2 linked regions of the Pelodiscus sinensis genome follow. The protein of the gene in region 2 purifies or fractionates together with the protein of the main gene of each other region. This does not show direct contact. Links are inferred from orthologs where the notes say so. Each region holds a gene or a part of one and is shown on either strand. Other genes may lie near its edges.

Region 1 (7,896 bases), on a different chromosome or scaffold from region 2:
CGCCCCACGGGCCCGGGGGCGGGGCCTGCCGCGCCCCACCGCCGCCGCGGAGGCCGGGCTCGATTTGCATATGCTAATGAGGGTGAGCGTTCGCTCGCGGCCCCCGGCGACCCCCCCATCTGCCCCGCCCCCTCCCGAGACCCCGCCCCCACCTGCCGCTCCTCCGCCCTCGCCCCTCCCACTCCGACCCACCGTTCCCCTCCCCCGGCCCCTCCCCCTCCTCAAAACCCCTCCCCCGGCCCACCCCCTCCTCATACCCCCTCCCCCGCCCCCCACCGCTCCCCTCCCCCGGCCCACCCCTACTCATACCCCCTCCCCCACCGCTCCGCCTCTACCTTCCCCTCCTTGCTCTGTCTGCTCCCTCCCATCCCCCTCACACCCTGCCCCCCACTCCCCGTCTCCCTCCCCTACCGCCCTGGAAAGCCCAGCCCCTCTCCGGCCCATGCCCCCTCCTCCTCTGCCCCCCCCGCGCAGCCCCGCACACACAGCAGGCCGGCAGGCAGAGTTCAGTCAGTCACAGGTTTTAATTTGAAAAGAAGCACTAATGAGAACCATGCTCCGTTAGCCCCCCGCGGCTGAGCCAGGCCAGCACGACCCCCACCAGGCCCCTCGTGCAGCACGACTGCCCCGCTGCAAGGGCCCCACGGCCCGGGGACCCCGCCCACTCAAGCTCGCAGGGAAAAGGGCACCCGGCTTCCAGCCAGCGTGCGGGGCAGCCGTGCCCAGTCTGCGCACAAGCACGTGCAAGGGCGGGCGTCTGGGCAGATTCTATTTGCACAGCACCTCCGGCAGCAGAACCAGGTGACACCCGGCCGGCCAGTCCTGCCTTGCCCCCACCCTGCCAAACAAGCCCCGAGCCCGTTGGGGGCAGCATGGGGCTAGGCCGCGGCCGGAGGGGCAGCGCTATCTGCGGTACAGCGCGAAGGCCACGAAGCTGAAGAGCAGGGTGAGGCCCGCCAGGCAGGTGGTGGCTGTGGCGGTGAAGACGTGCCGGTACTGCAGCTGGAAGTACCACAGCGCAGCCAGCATGAGCACGAAGAGCGGCAGCATGAGGCTGCCCACGTTGAGGGCCGTGTGCACGGGGTCCGCGGTGGCCCGGAGGCCAGCAGCCACGGGGGCGGGGCCATGCTGGGACACGTGGCAGTGGAGAACGCTGTTGTGGGTGAGATGCAGCGCAGCCAGGCTCTGGGCATCCTCCCGCAGCAGCTGGCCCTGGTAGATCAGACGCACCTGGTGCTCCTGGCCGGGGAAATGGGCCCTGTGGTGAGACACAAGGAGGGCAGCGTCACTCCAGCCCCCCGGGAGCCTCTGAACGGCCCCGCCCAGCTCCCCCAGGGTCCTGTCTGCCAGCGGCCGAGTGATCTCTCCCGCCATCCCTTCCCAGCACCAGGCCTGGAGCAGGGGCTGTGTCCTGACCGCCCTGGCTCCGGGAACTGACCGAGTGCGTTTTCATCCAGCTTTTACCTAGCCACGCCGCCCCCGGCAAGGAGTTCCACAGATGGACAGTGCGCGGTGCCAAGCAGCCCTTCCTTCTGGTTGGTGTTAACGTCGCTAAGTGGCCCCGGGGCCTTGTGTTCTGGGAAGCGGTAAATAACACTGCTCTGACCCCCCCGCTCTTCTGGACTGGTCGACTCCGCCAGAGTCGTCTTTTTGCCAGTCCCAGTCTTTGCAATCTCTCCTCTCGTCCAGCCTCTCTTCGAGCGGACCACGGCCCCGTGGTTCTCGGCCCTTTCTCCCATTCAAATACAGCTTTTGAGACGGGATGAGCAGCAGCCTTCGCTGTGCGCTGAGCACCAGCTGGCTGGCAGAGCGCCCGCAGCCGTCCATCGCAAGCAGCGTGTTTCTACTGGTGGTGCACAGCCCACACGCTTAGTGCACACCAGAAAACTGATTCCACACGTGGACGGGAGAGATGAGGGAAGGCTGGCAAGAAGCCCTGCACTCAGTATTCCCCGTGGCAGCCGTAGAACGCCTCCTGTCGCATTACCTACCCCTCCCAAGGGGCCCCACGTTCCTGCCACGGCTGCGTGGGAACAGCCAGTCAGTCCCCGGCGGTGCGCGCGCTCGGGTCTGTGCACCCATCAGCACGGAACTGCATCTGCCACTGCGCGGCCCAGCCCCCGCGTGGCGAGCGCGCGTTCAACGCCTCAGCCTGCACAGTCCAACCTCCCTCCCAGGAGCCCCCATCGCCTCCGTGGCCTGGCATTCTGCCGGGTGCCCTCGCTGTTCCCGTGACCAGCGCTGCCAAGGCTCAGGCTACCACGCAGGCTCACCGCCGGGGGGTGGCAGCGGAGAGCCATGTCCAGCACCAGGGAGGGAGGGCCAAGCAAGGCCGAGGGATGCCAGAGCCTCTCCCCTCCCACAGGCGAGAGGGCGGCCGTGCCCCTCACCTCTTGAGAGAGCCGACCGTCTCGTCTGGGCGCACGGAGACCAGGCGCTCCGTGTCGTTGAGGAACTTCAGCCGCAGCACGGTGCCGCGCTCCGTGGGGCTACTGTCCACGGCCTCGGGGCTGGCGCCTGGGCCCTCGGGCGGCTGCGGGGGCCCCTGTGCAGATCCGGGGCTGGCCCGGTGCCTCAGCCCTGCAGCCGTGCCCTCAGGCCCATCTGGCGCGGCACCTGCCGAAGGCTCCGCCGTCTCCCTGGGCCCCCCTGCGGCTGGGGCCGGCGCGCCGGGCTCCCGGGACTCCTCCTCCAGCAGGCTCTCTGCCCCGAGCCGCCCAGCCGCCAGACTGGGGGGAGCAGCGAAGACCTGGTCCGCCCGCTCCGCCGTGTGCGTCGACACCCAGGCCAGCGCCAGCACCAGCAGCACCAGCAGCAGGCCGAAGAGGATGGTGACTTCGTCCCCCACGCCCTCGATCAGAGCCATGGCCGCGGGCCAGCGCCGGGACAGCCGGGTCACCAGCCTGCAGAGGGACAGAGCAGCAGCTGAGCGCCCCGGGCCCGCCCAGGCAGCAGCCAGAGCCCCCGAGAGCCCCTTTCCGCTGCTCCTGGCTTGGGGGGCAGGGCCAACCGGCCCCGCTGCTCCCCACAGCCTGGCACCGAGTTCGGGGGCCTGGCCGCCAGCTTCCTCTGGCTCAGCCACGACACGTGGGGCTCAGCCACCCGCAGCTCCCCCGTCACGCCGGCCCCCCCGCCCGCAGCTCCCCCGCCACGCCAGCCCCCCCGCCCGCCGCCCCGCCGCCCCCCCGCCCGCCGCTCCCCCGTCACGCCAGCCCCCGCCCGCCGCCCCCCCCGCCCGCAGCTCCCCCGTCACGCCGGCCCCCCCCCGCCCCGCCGGCCCCCCCCGCCCGCTGCCCCCCCTGCCCGCAGCTCCCCCGTCACGCCAGCCCCCGCCCGCTGCCCCCCCCGCCCGCAGCTCCCCCGTCACGCCGGCCCCCCCCGCCCACCGCCCCCCCCGCCCGCAGCTCCCCCGTCACGCCGCCCCCCCCCCGCCCGCAGCTCTCCGGTCAGGCCGTCCACCCCCCCGCAGCTCCCCTGCCACCCTGCCCCTCCCTGTCCGTAGCTCCCCCATCACGCTGGGCTCCCCCCCGACGCCAGCCCCCCCCGCCCGTAGCTCTCCCGCCACGCCGGCCCCCCCACTCCCCGCCACCCCCACCACCCGCAGCTACCCTGCCACACCAGCCCCCACCCACCCCATCCGCAGCTCCCCTGCCACACTGCCCCTCCCCGTCCCGAGGGCCAGGCGGCGGGGGCGTCCCGAGGGCCAGGCGGCGGGGGCGTCCCGAGAGCCGCGTCCCGAGGGCCAGGCAGAGCCGCGTCCCGAGAGCCAGGCGGCGGGGGCGTCCCGAGAGCCGCGTCCCGAGGGCCAGGCGGCGGGGCTGTGACGTAGTGGGGGTACTTGCTGGGCTGTGGTGACCCCTGCTGTCTGGAGCAAGACCCAGCAGGGAAAACCTCACTAGGCAGAGGTAGTGCCAAACTTGTTGAACCAGTGGCCAGACACCCCCCATGGAGAGGAACAAAGGAAGGTGGATGCTGCCCTGACTGGGGGGCAGGGCTGGAAGAGGGTTAGTAAGTTACTGTCTGGGAGCATGGAGGAGAGCCTAGGGAAAGAGGCTGGAGTTTAGGGGCCCAGTCTCCCCCCAACTCAAGGGGGCCTGAGGCATCCTAGCCCAGCTCTGTGACCAGACTACATCTGTGCTGTGCTGTATCCTGGAGAGGCAATAAACTTCCTCTATTCCACCGGCTGGTACAGTCTGTTTGTGCCATTTCGGGGTGCAGGAGGTGGGGAACCCCAACGCGCCGTCACACTGGTGTCAGGAGCGGGATGCACTGCACCCCGTGGATGGAGCTTCCAGTGGCAAGTGACAAGGCGCTGTAGAAGCAAGAGCCCTGGAGCCAGGCGTGCTGGAGGCAGAGAGAAGTGGTTCCTGGGAATCGTGGGGCGCTGCAGCACTAGACTGGTGAGTCTGCACCGAGGGGCCCAGCGGGCAGATGGCCTACGCCCGACTCTTGAAGGCAGAGCTGGTGGGGCTGTGCAGAGAGAGGGGCCTGCCCGTGGGGAAAGCAACCAAGGCCCAGCTGATTGCCCGGCTGGAAGAGAATGACCAGCCACAGGGCCAGGATCTTGTCCCCAGGGGGAGCAGCCAGACCCCTCCTGAGAGTGTGTCAGGCTCAGAGGGGGGGAGGAGCGCTGGAACCCACCGGAGAGATGAGACAGCGTCTCCCGGGAGGCCTGCAAGTAATAGCCCATCTAGGGCAGGGGACAGCCCAGCGGAGCTGCTGCGGCTGGAGATCCAGCTGCGGATCAGGGAATTGGAAGTAGAGGACCGAGAGAGGGACCGCCAGGACCGAGAGAGGCAGCGACAGCATGAGCTGGCCATGGCAGAGCGGAGAACCGGCGGGGCACCGGCTGCGCCAAGTGCGGATGGGCCCCAGGGTCCCAGGACTGCCAGATGCTTGGAGAGGCCCGTGGTGGCCCAATTGAAGGACATGGGTGACATAGACGGGTTCCTCAGTGCCTTTGAGAGGGCCTGTGGACTGCAACGGGTCCCCCCAGCTGACTGGCTGCAGGAGCTCATCCCCGCACTGAACCAGGAGGCGGCCGGAGTGCTCAGTCAGCTGGAGGACCTACAGCCAGGGGATTACAACCGAGTCAAGGAGGCCCTGCTGCACAAGTTCGGGCTGACCCCCGAGATGTACAGGAAGAAGCTCCGGGGGGTACAGAAAGGGCCACGGGAGACCTATGTGGACCTGGCCTCCCGCCTGGCGCAATACTGCCGCAAGTGGGTGTCTGGAGTCGGAGCCCAGACCACAGAGGAGCTGCTCAGGCTGGTCATGATGGAGCAGTTCTATGAAGCGTGCCCACCCAAACTGAGGCTGTGGCTCAAGGACCGGAGACCAGAGAACCCCCAGGAGGCCGGGAGGCTGGCAGATGAGTTCACGGAGAGCCGGTCCGGGTGTGAACGGGAGTCCCGGAGAGAAAGGGAACCGCGCAGAGACCGGATCTCAGCTGAGCGACGGAGAGAGTCAACTACGGGGCGAGCCCAAGGAACAGGTCGTCTGTGCCCCAGAGAACCAGCCAGGGCCTGGACAGAGACAGCCCAAAGCCTAACTTGCCATCGCTGTGGGCAAAAAGGCCACAAGAGGGCTCAGTGCACCAGGTCCCAGGACCGGGGACTTTCCAGGGTTAACTGGCTGGGGCGGGAGGAAGGGCAGGCTGTCCCAGAGGCAGGGGCTGGCAGGCAAACCTCAGCTCAGAGAGAGGGGAAGGGTGCTCAGTGCACCTCCCCTGGGAGGTCTGATTCTCAGGAGGCGGATTTCTCCGTGTACCGGGTGGGGGCAGGACGGCCCCTGCGGAGCGAGTGCCTCATACCCCTGGAGGTGGATGGTAGGAAGGTGACGGGCTTCTGGGACACGGGGGCGGAGGTGACTCTGGCCCGATCCGACATAGTGGCCCCAGACCGGATACTACCCCACACCCAGCTGACCCTGAAGGGCATAGACGGGTCCCCGTTTAAGGTGCCTGTAGCCCGGGTGCATCTGAAATGGGGGGCGAAGGAAGGCCTCAAGGAAGTGGGGGTGCACCCGCACTTGCCCACCAAGGTGCTGATGGGGAATGACCTAGAGGAGTGGCCCCATGAATCCCAGCGGGCTCTAGTCACTACCCGGAGCCAGAGCCAGCGGGGGGCTGACAACGTGGGTCCAGGGAAGGACTCCTGGCAGCGTCCTCAGGGTCCCATCCCAGTGGACACGGGGTCCAGCCAGGCTGGGACTCCGGACCTAGGCAAAGGTGGGGAACAGGTCCCGATCCCTGCCTCAGCAGCTGAATTCCAGGCAGAGGTGCAGGCAGACCCCTCCTTGCAGAGGCTGAGGGACCAGGCTGGCCTCCGTGCAGCTCAGCCCCGTGGGAGAGGTGGCCAGGAGAGATTCCTGGTGGAGCGTGGGCTCCTGTTCCGTGAATGGCTTCCCCCCAGGAAGGTGAGGGCATGGAGGGTCCAGCGGCAGCTGGTCGTCCCCCGAAAGTATCGCCTCAAGCTGCTGTATTTGGCCCACGATGTCCCCGTTGGGGGCCACCGGGGGATCCGGAGCACCCGGCTGAGGCTGCTCCAGCACTTCTATTGGCCGGGAATCTTTACAGCCGTGCAGCGGTACTGCCGGTCCTGTGACTCCTGCCAGAGGGGCGGGAAGGCCCAAGACAGGAGGAAAGCGGCTTGGGGGTCTCTACCCCAGATAGACCCTCTGGGCTTGCTGAGAGAGTTATGGGAGGGGAAGTCCTCCCTGGATGGAGCGTCGGGTGTGGGAGCCGCCCTGGTTGTCCAGAGAAGGCTCACTGGGCTCATGGCCCCGGCCCGAGAGACCCTGGCCAGAGATCAAGGCCAGTGGAAGGGTGGGTGTGACCCCCGAGGACAGGCCTGTGCCAGTCGCCCTGGAGCGGGGCGGCGAGTGGACAGAGGGAAGCCAGCTCATGTGGGGCCTCGCCACGGCCGGCCTGAGTCAAGGGGAGCACCCATGTCCCCAGGGCGGGTTCCCACGCAGAGGACCCGAACTTCCCTAGGTCACGAGCGGAGTGACCCTGCTCAGTTCGCTCTCGGAGGGGGGAGAACTGTGACGTAGTGGGGGTACTTGCTGGGCTGTGCTGACCCCTGCTGTCTGGAGCAAGACCCAGCAGGGAAAACCTCACTAGGCAGAGGGAAGGCCAAACTTGTTGAACCAGTGGTCAGACACCCCCCATGGAGAGGAACAAAGGAAGGTGGATGCTGCCCTGGCTGGGGGGCAGGGCTGGAAGAGGGTGAGTTTAGTTGCTGGCTGGGAGCATGGAGGAGACAGCCTAGGGGAAGGGGCTGGAGTTTAGGGGCCCAGTCTCCCCCATCTCAAGGGGGCCTGAGGCATCCTAGCCCAGCTCTGTGACCAGATTACATCTGTGCTGTGCTGTATCCTGGAGAGGCAATAAACTTCCTCTATTCCACTGGCTGGTGCAGTCTGTTTGTGCCATTTCGGGGTGCAGGAGACGGGGGAACCCCATCGCGCCGTCACAGGGGCGTCCCGAGAGCCGCGTCCCGAGAGCCAGGCGGCGGGGGCGTCCCGAGGGCCAGGCGGCGCGGGCGTCCCGAAGGCCAGGCGGCGCGGGCGTCCCGAGGGCCAGGCGGCGGGGGCGTCCCGAGGGCCAGGCGGCGCGGGCGTCCCGAGGGCCAGGCGGCGCGGGCGTCCCAAGAGCTGCGTCCCGAGGGCCAGGCGGCGGGGGCGTCCCGAGAGCCACGTCCCGAGAGCCACGTCCCGAGAGCCAGGCGGCGGGGGCGTCCCGAGAGCCACGTCCCGAGAGCCAGGCGGCGGGGGCGTCCCGAGAGCCGCGTCCCGAGAGCCAGGCGGCGGGGGCGTCCCGAGAGCCGCGTCCCGAGAGCCAGGCGGCGGGGGCGTCCCGAGGGCCAGTCAGCGGGGGCGTCCCGAGGGCCGCTTCCC
Region 2 (8,215 bases):
CATTCGTAACTGCGGATCCGACATAAGTCGGATCCGCGTAACTCGGGGACTGCCTGTACACAAGTCCCTACTAACACTACAGATCAAATTCCCAAAACACAGATAAACTCTTCCCAAATCCAGTAGTCAGCCATCAGACTGGAAGATTGAAGCCATGCTGAAAAACCCAAAAGACCAAACTCAATCATTTTGACAGAGAAACTGAAAGACACAATTCTCTCTTAACTACACAAAATACTTCCTCAAGCAATTAGGAATAATGAATGCTTCCCATGAAAGCACAAGAAAGACTGCACAATTTTCTGAGTAGTAAGAGGCCCAAATAGCTTCAAGATGGGCATATCAGAACAGGGGGGCAATAGCACTGAACTCTGTTACTCTCATACCACCAATCCTGCAGTTAGATCCTCAGTTAGATTTTGCATGAGCTAAAATCATGTGGAAACAAAGTGATTCAAAAGGAGTCAAAGCAGCCTTCTTTGGGCCACCTCCCTAGATAGTCTATTCTACAGCCTTCTGTAATCAGTTCCAACTTAATAGAAAACATGGCCCCTGCTCTTCCCCAAACCCCTTAGACAGCCAGCATCAGACAGGAACTCAGACCTTGATGAGAGACAGGAACCCCAGCTGGATCCTAAAATGATCCACGGTCCCCATATGAACACCATGGACTTTGAACACCCTATCAATGGAGTCCAGACACCAGGGCTATGTCTACACTGTGGACACTCTCTTGCGCAAGAAAGCGCCGATGGCCATTTTAGCCAAACTGTCTTTTCCGAAACCACGTTGAAAACACCAAATCATTTTCTATTGGCCACACAGCCATCAGATGGTGGTGTGCACTCGCCTATCAGTCTAGGTTGGACTAGAACCTGTGACTTTAGATAGGAAAGTTTCGGAAATGCTATTACAGCTAATGTGTAAAATAAAAATTCACGTGGTACACAAGTTAAGAGGAAAGGATCTGTACATCTGGGTGTCATGCTTGGATTATCTAAGGTTAAACGTTTTGTTTAAGGCACATGGAACATACCATACGTAATCAGCATTAACTCAAAGGTAGGTACAAAGAGTTGTCCTGTGGCACCAGAGACTAACAAAAATATACATACAGGTTGGACCTCCCTGGTCCAGCACCCTCAGGATCTGACCAGTCCTGGATGAGGGAATTTGCTGGACAACGGGAGGTTACCTGACACCAGCCCCTCAGTCCCTTCCTGCTGCTGGCAACTTTGGCCCAGCCGGGCTGCCTTCTGGCCAGTCCCAGCTCCGCTGCCAGCTGGGCGGCACGATGTCTAACTGGGATGCTGCAGGCCCAATCCCCCGCTGGGTGGCACGTGGCTCCAGCCACGCTGCCTCTGCGAGGCTGCGCCAAGGCCCCAGCCTAGATTCCCCTCCCGTGTTGCTGCAGCCCCAGCCTTGCTGTCGGGCAGTAGGCAGCCCTGATTGTGCTCTGCTGTTGCTGCTCAGGCTGCTGCGGCATAGCTGCTGCTAGACTCACCAGGCTGCACCACTTTCCCAGCTGCTGGGCCTCCTGCTCTGGGGCTCTCTCATGCTGAACCACAGATGTTGCCAGACCAGAGAGACCTGAATTTGGGAGGTTCAACCTGTAGGATCATGAGCTTTCATGGGCAAAACCCATCTCTTCAGATGGGCTGGAAATGTAGGTGTGTAGGTTTAGCAGTACAGTTCTAAGGCAGCAGTGAATAAGTCTTTGGATACGTCTCCCAAGGGAAGTTTCACATACTTAGTCATGGAAAACAGATCTATTAATGGTTGGAGATTGTTCCTACACCACTGCCAAGCCCAGAGACTATCTACCTACCCCAACCTGGAGCCATGCACCCAGTTACCGTATATAATGGTTCAACAGAAAAATACACCAGCCTGATGGGAAAGTCTCTCCGGCCAGTGTAGGTGGGGTGAGGTGACTGATCCTAGGGTAGCAGCCAATCTCTCCTGTGGGTTAACAGCTGTTTGGAAGCAAGTCAGGCTTGACTGAGCTGTACAAGGGGGTGAAGACTGATGTAGAAAGTAGAGATGTAATAGTATAGTTGATTAACCCATAAGCAAACGCTCACAGGTTAATGCTACAGACTACATGCATTTCCCTCCCCTCCCTGCCAGTAATTTTTGTTAGTAGCCCGGCCAGCAGCCTGGCTCAGTCCTGGCTTGTGCTGGGTCCAGGATCTCCCCCCACTGTGGCTCTTGACTTAAAGTATATTAGGAGCCAGGTGGGCAGGCAGCTCCGCTCAATTCCAGCTTGTGCTGACCCCATTCCCGAGAAGCCTCCTGCAACCCTGAGCGGCTGCATCTCCAGGGGCAACAGAGTGGGGTGAGAGGAAGCCGGTCCACACGAGGAGCTGGTTTTTAAGTTGGCTCCTCTGGCAGACCAGCTCCCATCTGGCACCCTGCGCTGCTGCCTCTGATAGAGAGACAGCAGCGCAGGGTGACAGGGGACTCCCCGGGAGTGGGGCCAGAGCACATGGGCTGCCACTCTCAGGGACTATAGAATAGTCGACTAACTGATAAACTGTGAGGTTAATCGACTATTCATCCTTAGTGGAACGTGCCCCCAGTTCACACACACGTGGCCCTGCCCCTCACCTTGAGGAGGACAAAGAACTCGAAGATGCGGCGGAAGGAGGGTGGGAAGAGGCGGGCGTAGGTGACAGCCATCTTGAAGAAGAGGGCATGGAAGAGGCGGTCGCGCACGTTGATCAGGGGGTTCTGGTTGAGGTTGGGGTTCCGCACCCCCCGGTTGTTCCCCGCGGCAGCCCCACCGGCCCCGTTGTTGTTCACCGGGTGCTGGTGCTGGTTTGCATTGGGCTGGTTCTCCGACATCCTGGCCCTGTGGGGCGGGGGCACCCGGCCGTTTCGGGAGCGCGGGGATCACAGGCCTGTCACCAAGGTGAGGGGGAGGCTCGGACTCCTTTTGGGGGGGGGGGGGAAGCGGCTGGGGGAGGGGTGCTGTTCCAGACCAAATCTGACAGAACCAGCCCGGGGGGGGGGGAGGGGGGGAGTAGTTCAGCCCCCCCCTTCACACAGGACAGAGGGAACCGCTGCGAGGGGAGCCCGCGGGTGGGGGGGTCACACGGGGGGAGCTCAGGGGTGACCCTGGGGGCAGAGGGACACGGGGGGGGGAAGAGTAACGCGGGGGGGGGGGCCCGGGTGTGATACTCGGGGGGGCCTCTGGGGGCGGGGGGGGGTCACGCGGGGGGGCCCTGGGGGGTCACGCGGGGGGGCTCGGGGGTCACGCGGGGGGGGCACCCGGGGGGGTCACGCGGGGGGGGGCCACGCGGGGGGGCCCTGGGGGTCACGCGGGGGGGTCACGCGGGGGGGTCACGCGCGGCGGCGGGGCCGCGGCAGGCCCGGGCGGGGACGCGGCTCCTGGGCCGGCCCCGCGGCCATGGGGGCCCCGCTCCGCCTCCCTCCGCCGCGTCTCACGACCCGGCCCGCGCCGCCGCCATCTTCCGCCTCCTGCTGCCCCGGCCCGGAGGCTGCACCGCGCCAACGAGCGCGCGCCGGCCCGAGAGCGGCAGCTGCGCAGGGGACGCCGGGACGGTGGCGGGCCAGAGGGGCCGGGCCTACGTTTTAGCCTTATTTGCATATTCGACTAAGGCGCGCCCTGTGGTTCCCGGCATGCGCCGCGAAAGAAGCCTGGTTAGAAAATAAAAAGGAAATTAAAAGCGTTAAAACGGAGGAACAGTGAAAAAAAGCCACCGAGAGGATCAGGATCCGCGTGGTTCGTTCACTAGTGACTGAGGCACCCCAGCGCGGACACGAGGCAAATCACCCTAATGGAGAAATATTTCACTTCTGGAGGTTTAAATAGCTCCGGGGTTTCACTTAGATTCGTGCTCGCTTCGGCAGCACATATACTAAAATTGGAACGATACAGAGAAGATTAGCATGGCCCCTGCGCAAGGATGACACGCAAATTCGTGAAGCGTTCCATATTTTTGGGGCCTGGCTGGCTTCCGCCTGGTTCTTCCCACCGCCCAGCTACTGAATCCACTGGGGCAGCTGCTCCCCAGGAACCTTTTACAGCCCAAAGCTCAGCGCAGGGCATCACAGCTCAGAACAGGGCAATTATCCACCCTGTGCCAATCTCCCAGCCTCTGAAAGGACACCTGGAGCATTGGGCTATGTCCCAGGCAACCTTCCTACTAATTTTTTTCCATCCACGTGCGGAATAATTTGATGTGCACTGGGGCATGTGCGATGTGCACCACCAATAGAACCACATCACCTGGCTGTTTGTCACTCTGCTAATCAGCAGGGCAGCGTTTGAATTTCTCTTGAGCAGCTGCTCAAGGAACACTGGGCCCAGGCCATCGTGGCTAATAGCTAGTGACGGACCGGGCATGTCGAATTCTTCTTTGAACCCAGTTATACGTTGACCCTCCACAACAGCCCCTGGCAGGGAGGGTTGTGTGTCTGGGTTGTCTGATGGGCCATGGAGGCGGGGGATGGCTTGACTGCGAATGTGTTTTCAAGCTGCTGTGTTTCAGATGCTCTGTAACTCGCAGCAAGCAAGTAACACTTTACCCAGTAGGTCTTCTGTGTTTGGTTCAAAAACTCTCCTTGGGTCCTAGCCGGCAGGCGGCTCTGTGCAGCCTAGAACTGCAAGGGCAGGTAGTAAGAGAAGTGCAGGTTTTTCCCAAGCGCTGTCTGGAAAGAGGGTTAAAGAGCTGGAGTAACCCATAGGAGGAAATTCCCAAGTGCATCTTGGGGGGCGCAAGGGGTGTTTGCCTTGGCTGGTGGCAGCCACACCAAGGCCAGGGAATCTGTGACCATGGGGAGTTTTTTAAACAGATTCCTTTAGTGGCCTGGTATTTTAGAGTCGCTTGCCGGCCCCACCCTCTGGGGCGCAGCCTTGAGACGGGGAGAGGCCAGAGACTCCGTCACAGCCAGGCCGCTCCTAGGCCACGCCCTGGGCTAGGGCTCCAGGCTGAGTTGGAGCCTGGGCTCACAACCCCGCACACCCCCCAGACAGCCCCGCGGGACAGCAGCAGCCCCCGCTCAGGCAAAGCCACCAGGCCCCTTCGGCCACAGCTGGGCCCTGCCGCCTGCACGTTGCCGGGGCCGAGCAAGGCGCGGGCGAGCGGCACCTGCCTGGCTAATTTCTAAGGGGCCGGGCAGGTGGGAGGCCCTGCACGGATGAATTCACACAAGGCCCCTGCTGCGTGGGCGGGGTGACTCCGTGGGGCACCAGGGTTGCAAGAGGAGAGAGGGACCCCTGGGGCCTCCCCATGAGCCTGCGGTGAGGCCAGCCTGCCGGGGAATTCTGGCCCCCCTGCCTGGCTGGTAGGAAGGACGCTGGCGCCAGGGCTCTCTGTTGATCCGGGCTGTTTGTGTTGCTACTGGTGCAGTGGCCTAGGGGTGTGTGTGTGTGTGTGTGTGTGCGTGTGTGTGTGTTCAGCTAAGGTGGCGCCAGCAGGCGGGAGGCCTGAGCCGCCCGAGAAGGGCTGGCGGGGAGCCCCAGTGGGGGCGTTCCCGAGGGATCCCATCCCCAAGGCAGCACCGGAGGCCCGGGCTGCACGGTCACACGCTGCACCAGGCCTTGGCAATTCGCCAGCGCACCTGGAGAGCCGGCTTGGTGTTCCGGCACATCCCTGCCTCAGTCACGCACTGCTCCACGAGCCCCTCTGCCTGCGAGCCCATGGGCCACAAGCCCCATGCTGGCAGCAAGAGAGAAACTGGCTGCAGCCACATCTCTGGCCAACCTTACAGAGGAGGCTCTGAGACCAGGCTTCCCTCTCATTTTTTCCATCCATGGGGGAATAAATTTTGTTCCGTGCACCGAGGCATGTGCGGATGTGCACCACCAGTTGAAACAGGCTGCTGGCTGCAGGTGCTCTGAGAATCAGCTGGGTGGCATTTGAATCTCTCCTGCGGGGGCTGCCCAAGTGCCCAGCTTACAGGGAACACTGCCCGAGACCTGCCCCTGCCGGGCACCAATACATCCCAGAGGCTGCACCGCCTCGTGGCCACCCCCTGCCCCCACCTGCGTGACCCAAGCCGGCCGTGGGCTCACAGCAGCCAGTAAGCGCCGCAGGGAGGGGCAGGGTTCCCTGCTCGGCATACGTCCTGCGCTGAGCACAGTGGGGCCCCGGCCTCCAGAAACTGCTCTGAATTGAACCCTGATCCGTACCCGTCTGAGCGTATGAGGCCATCACTAGTGCGGGGGCAGGGCGTCTATCCAAGTAAGGGCTAGGTCCTGGGAAGTTTGGGGTGGTGGCAGTGCTAGCTAATGGTTAGAGCACAGGCTTGGGCAATCTGGATTCTATTCTTGCGTCTCCCACAGGCCTGCCAGTGGTACGTCACAACCCTTTCCTGGTGCCTCAGTTTCCCCATGGGGATGATGCTACTGCGCTCCTCTGTAAAGCCCCTGCTGAGCAGTGTGAGCTAATAACCATCCCGTGCGTGTCTCTAGCAAGGCTGGCAGGGAACAGGGTCACAGGCAGGGATCGGGGACGGCGCCCAGTGCAGGGGGCACAGGGATCCGGGGGTCGTTGGGGCTGCAGGCAGGGGAAGGAGCCGGGAGTCGGAAGTTGCAACCTGTGAATGAGCCAAACCCTCTGCACCGGCCCATGTGAGCAATTCCACCTTAAGAGACACCGGCCCTGCCCCCCCGGCAGCGGCCCCCTGCTTGGTTACTGTCCCAGGCACCGCAGAGCAGGGGCCACCCCACGGCGCAGCCCAGCACTGGGCAGGTGGATGGATCTGCCCAGAGGGGAGACACCAGGGCACGGCCCATGCTGGGAACCTCCGACCTGCCTCCGTGCACGGCCAGCCCCCCGCCTCCTCCAGCGTCTCCCTCCGGCTTCCCCCCCCCGCACCCTCGCTCCCCACCGGTACCCGAGCGCCCACGGCTGCCCGCCCCCCGCCGGAGGATGGGCTTGGGGCACCGGACGGAGGCGAGAGCGCAGCCGAGGCTGCCCCACTTCTCGTGGACGGACTTGGTGTTCCGCCCCCCACCGGGCCAGCCTCCGCGGGAAGGTACGGCCCACGATAGGTCCCCGTCCCCGACAAGCCGGGACAGCTAGACCAGTGTGTGTGTGTGTGGGGGGGGGGGTGTCTGCATGTGTGTGGGTGTGTGTGTGTGCGTGAGTAGTGTCTGAATGTGTGTCTGTGTGTGTGTGCTTGTGCGTGTGCGTGCGTGTGTGCACGACGGGTACTGACATGCAGCCTCCTCTGGGGTGGGCCGGCGAGCGGGAGGACAGCTCACAGCTGGTGTTTCATGCCGGCGCAGAGGGGGCCGGGCAGCTGGAGGTGCGGTTGGGAGGCGGCTCCAGCTGGGGCCCGGGTGCGTCTGAGATGTCGGGGGCTGGGGGGGGGCAGCACCTTCCTTTGCCAGAGGCCTTGGCACCTCTGCGGGGAGGGATTTAAACACCCTCCACTGGCCTAGTGCCGTGGGGCCCAGCCCCCCAGCCCCCCCTCTGGACCCAGCGCTCCCCTCCCCTTCCAGGCCTCCCCGCGTCGGACCCCTGCGGCGGGGGGCGCAGGGCGGGTGGGCGGAAGCAGAGCCAGCAGCCAGCTCCCCTGGCCGTGGCCCCCGGCCCGGAACGCGGCACAGGAACGGGGGCGTCTCCAGCCAGCGGCTGCCCCGCCAGGCCCCCCGCGGAGACCCCGGCTGCTCCCCCGGCGCCCCGGGAGGCGGCCAGAGAGAGGCCCACGCGCCGGACGATCCTGGTGGATCTGCGCCCCGTGCTGGAGACGGTGGCGGAGCCCTGGGAGGGCCGTGCGGAGCCGCGGAGCCGCCCCAGCGAGGGAGGCTGCGCCGGTGCCGTAGAGGCAGCCAGGGACGGTCCTGCTTCCGGGGCCATCTCGCTGCCTCCCAGTGCGGCCCAGCCCCGAGGCAGCATCCCGGGGCCGGCAGCGCACAAGCCGCCCGGTGGCCAGGCTCCAAGAGACGGCGCGCCCGCCCGCCGGGCTGCGGCCCCGCCGCCCTTCCCACAGAGGCTCCCCCCGCCGGGACCCGCGCTGCAGCCGCCAGCCCCCCCCAGGGGCCGCTCAGCAGAGATGGTGAGTGGCACCTCCCCCCGGCACCGGGCCCTCGGCTTCCACCCGGCCTGCGGCAGGTTTCCTGCTGCCAGCGCCGCCGGCCGGCTGAGCCCAGCCCTCTCCAAGAGGAGCCACCCAGCCAGGCGGTTCCCTGCCACGGGCCTGAGCGCGAGGGGCGTGGCCTGGCCGGGCCGGGGAGAGG

The links.
Region 1: the proteins of TMEM259 (region 2) and TMUB1 purify together in Homo sapiens (affinity purification with mass spectrometry; 3 studies listed by BioGRID, with this or other methods). This does not show direct contact. The link is inferred for Pelodiscus sinensis from reciprocal best matches to the Homo sapiens genes TMEM259 and TMUB1.

Annotation. Positions count from the first base shown.
Region 1 is NW_027466049.1:4,780-12,675, reverse strand, and holds TMUB1 (transmembrane and ubiquitin-like domain-containing protein 1), read right to left. Parts: upstream 3,083-7,896; 5' UTR 2,867-3,082; coding exon 2,391-2,866; intron 1,259-2,390; coding exon 904-1,258; 3' UTR 506-903; downstream 1-505. Other genes in the region: FASTK (fas-activated serine/threonine kinase), read right to left, coding at 1-119. UniProt on the Homo sapiens protein: Involved in sterol-regulated ubiquitination and degradation of HMG-CoA reductase HMGCR. Involved in positive regulation of AMPA-selective glutamate receptor GRIA2 recycling to the cell surface.
Region 2 is NC_134729.1:16,439,987-16,448,201, forward strand, and holds the start of TMEM259 (membralin), read right to left. Parts: upstream 3,117-8,215; 5' UTR 2,848-3,116; coding exon 2,611-2,847; intron 1-2,610. Other genes in the region: uncharacterized protein LOC142818988, read left to right, coding at 6,765-7,008, 7,478-8,034. UniProt on the Homo sapiens protein: May have a role in the ERAD pathway required for clearance of misfolded proteins in the endoplasmic reticulum (ER). Promotes survival of motor neurons, probably by protecting against ER stress.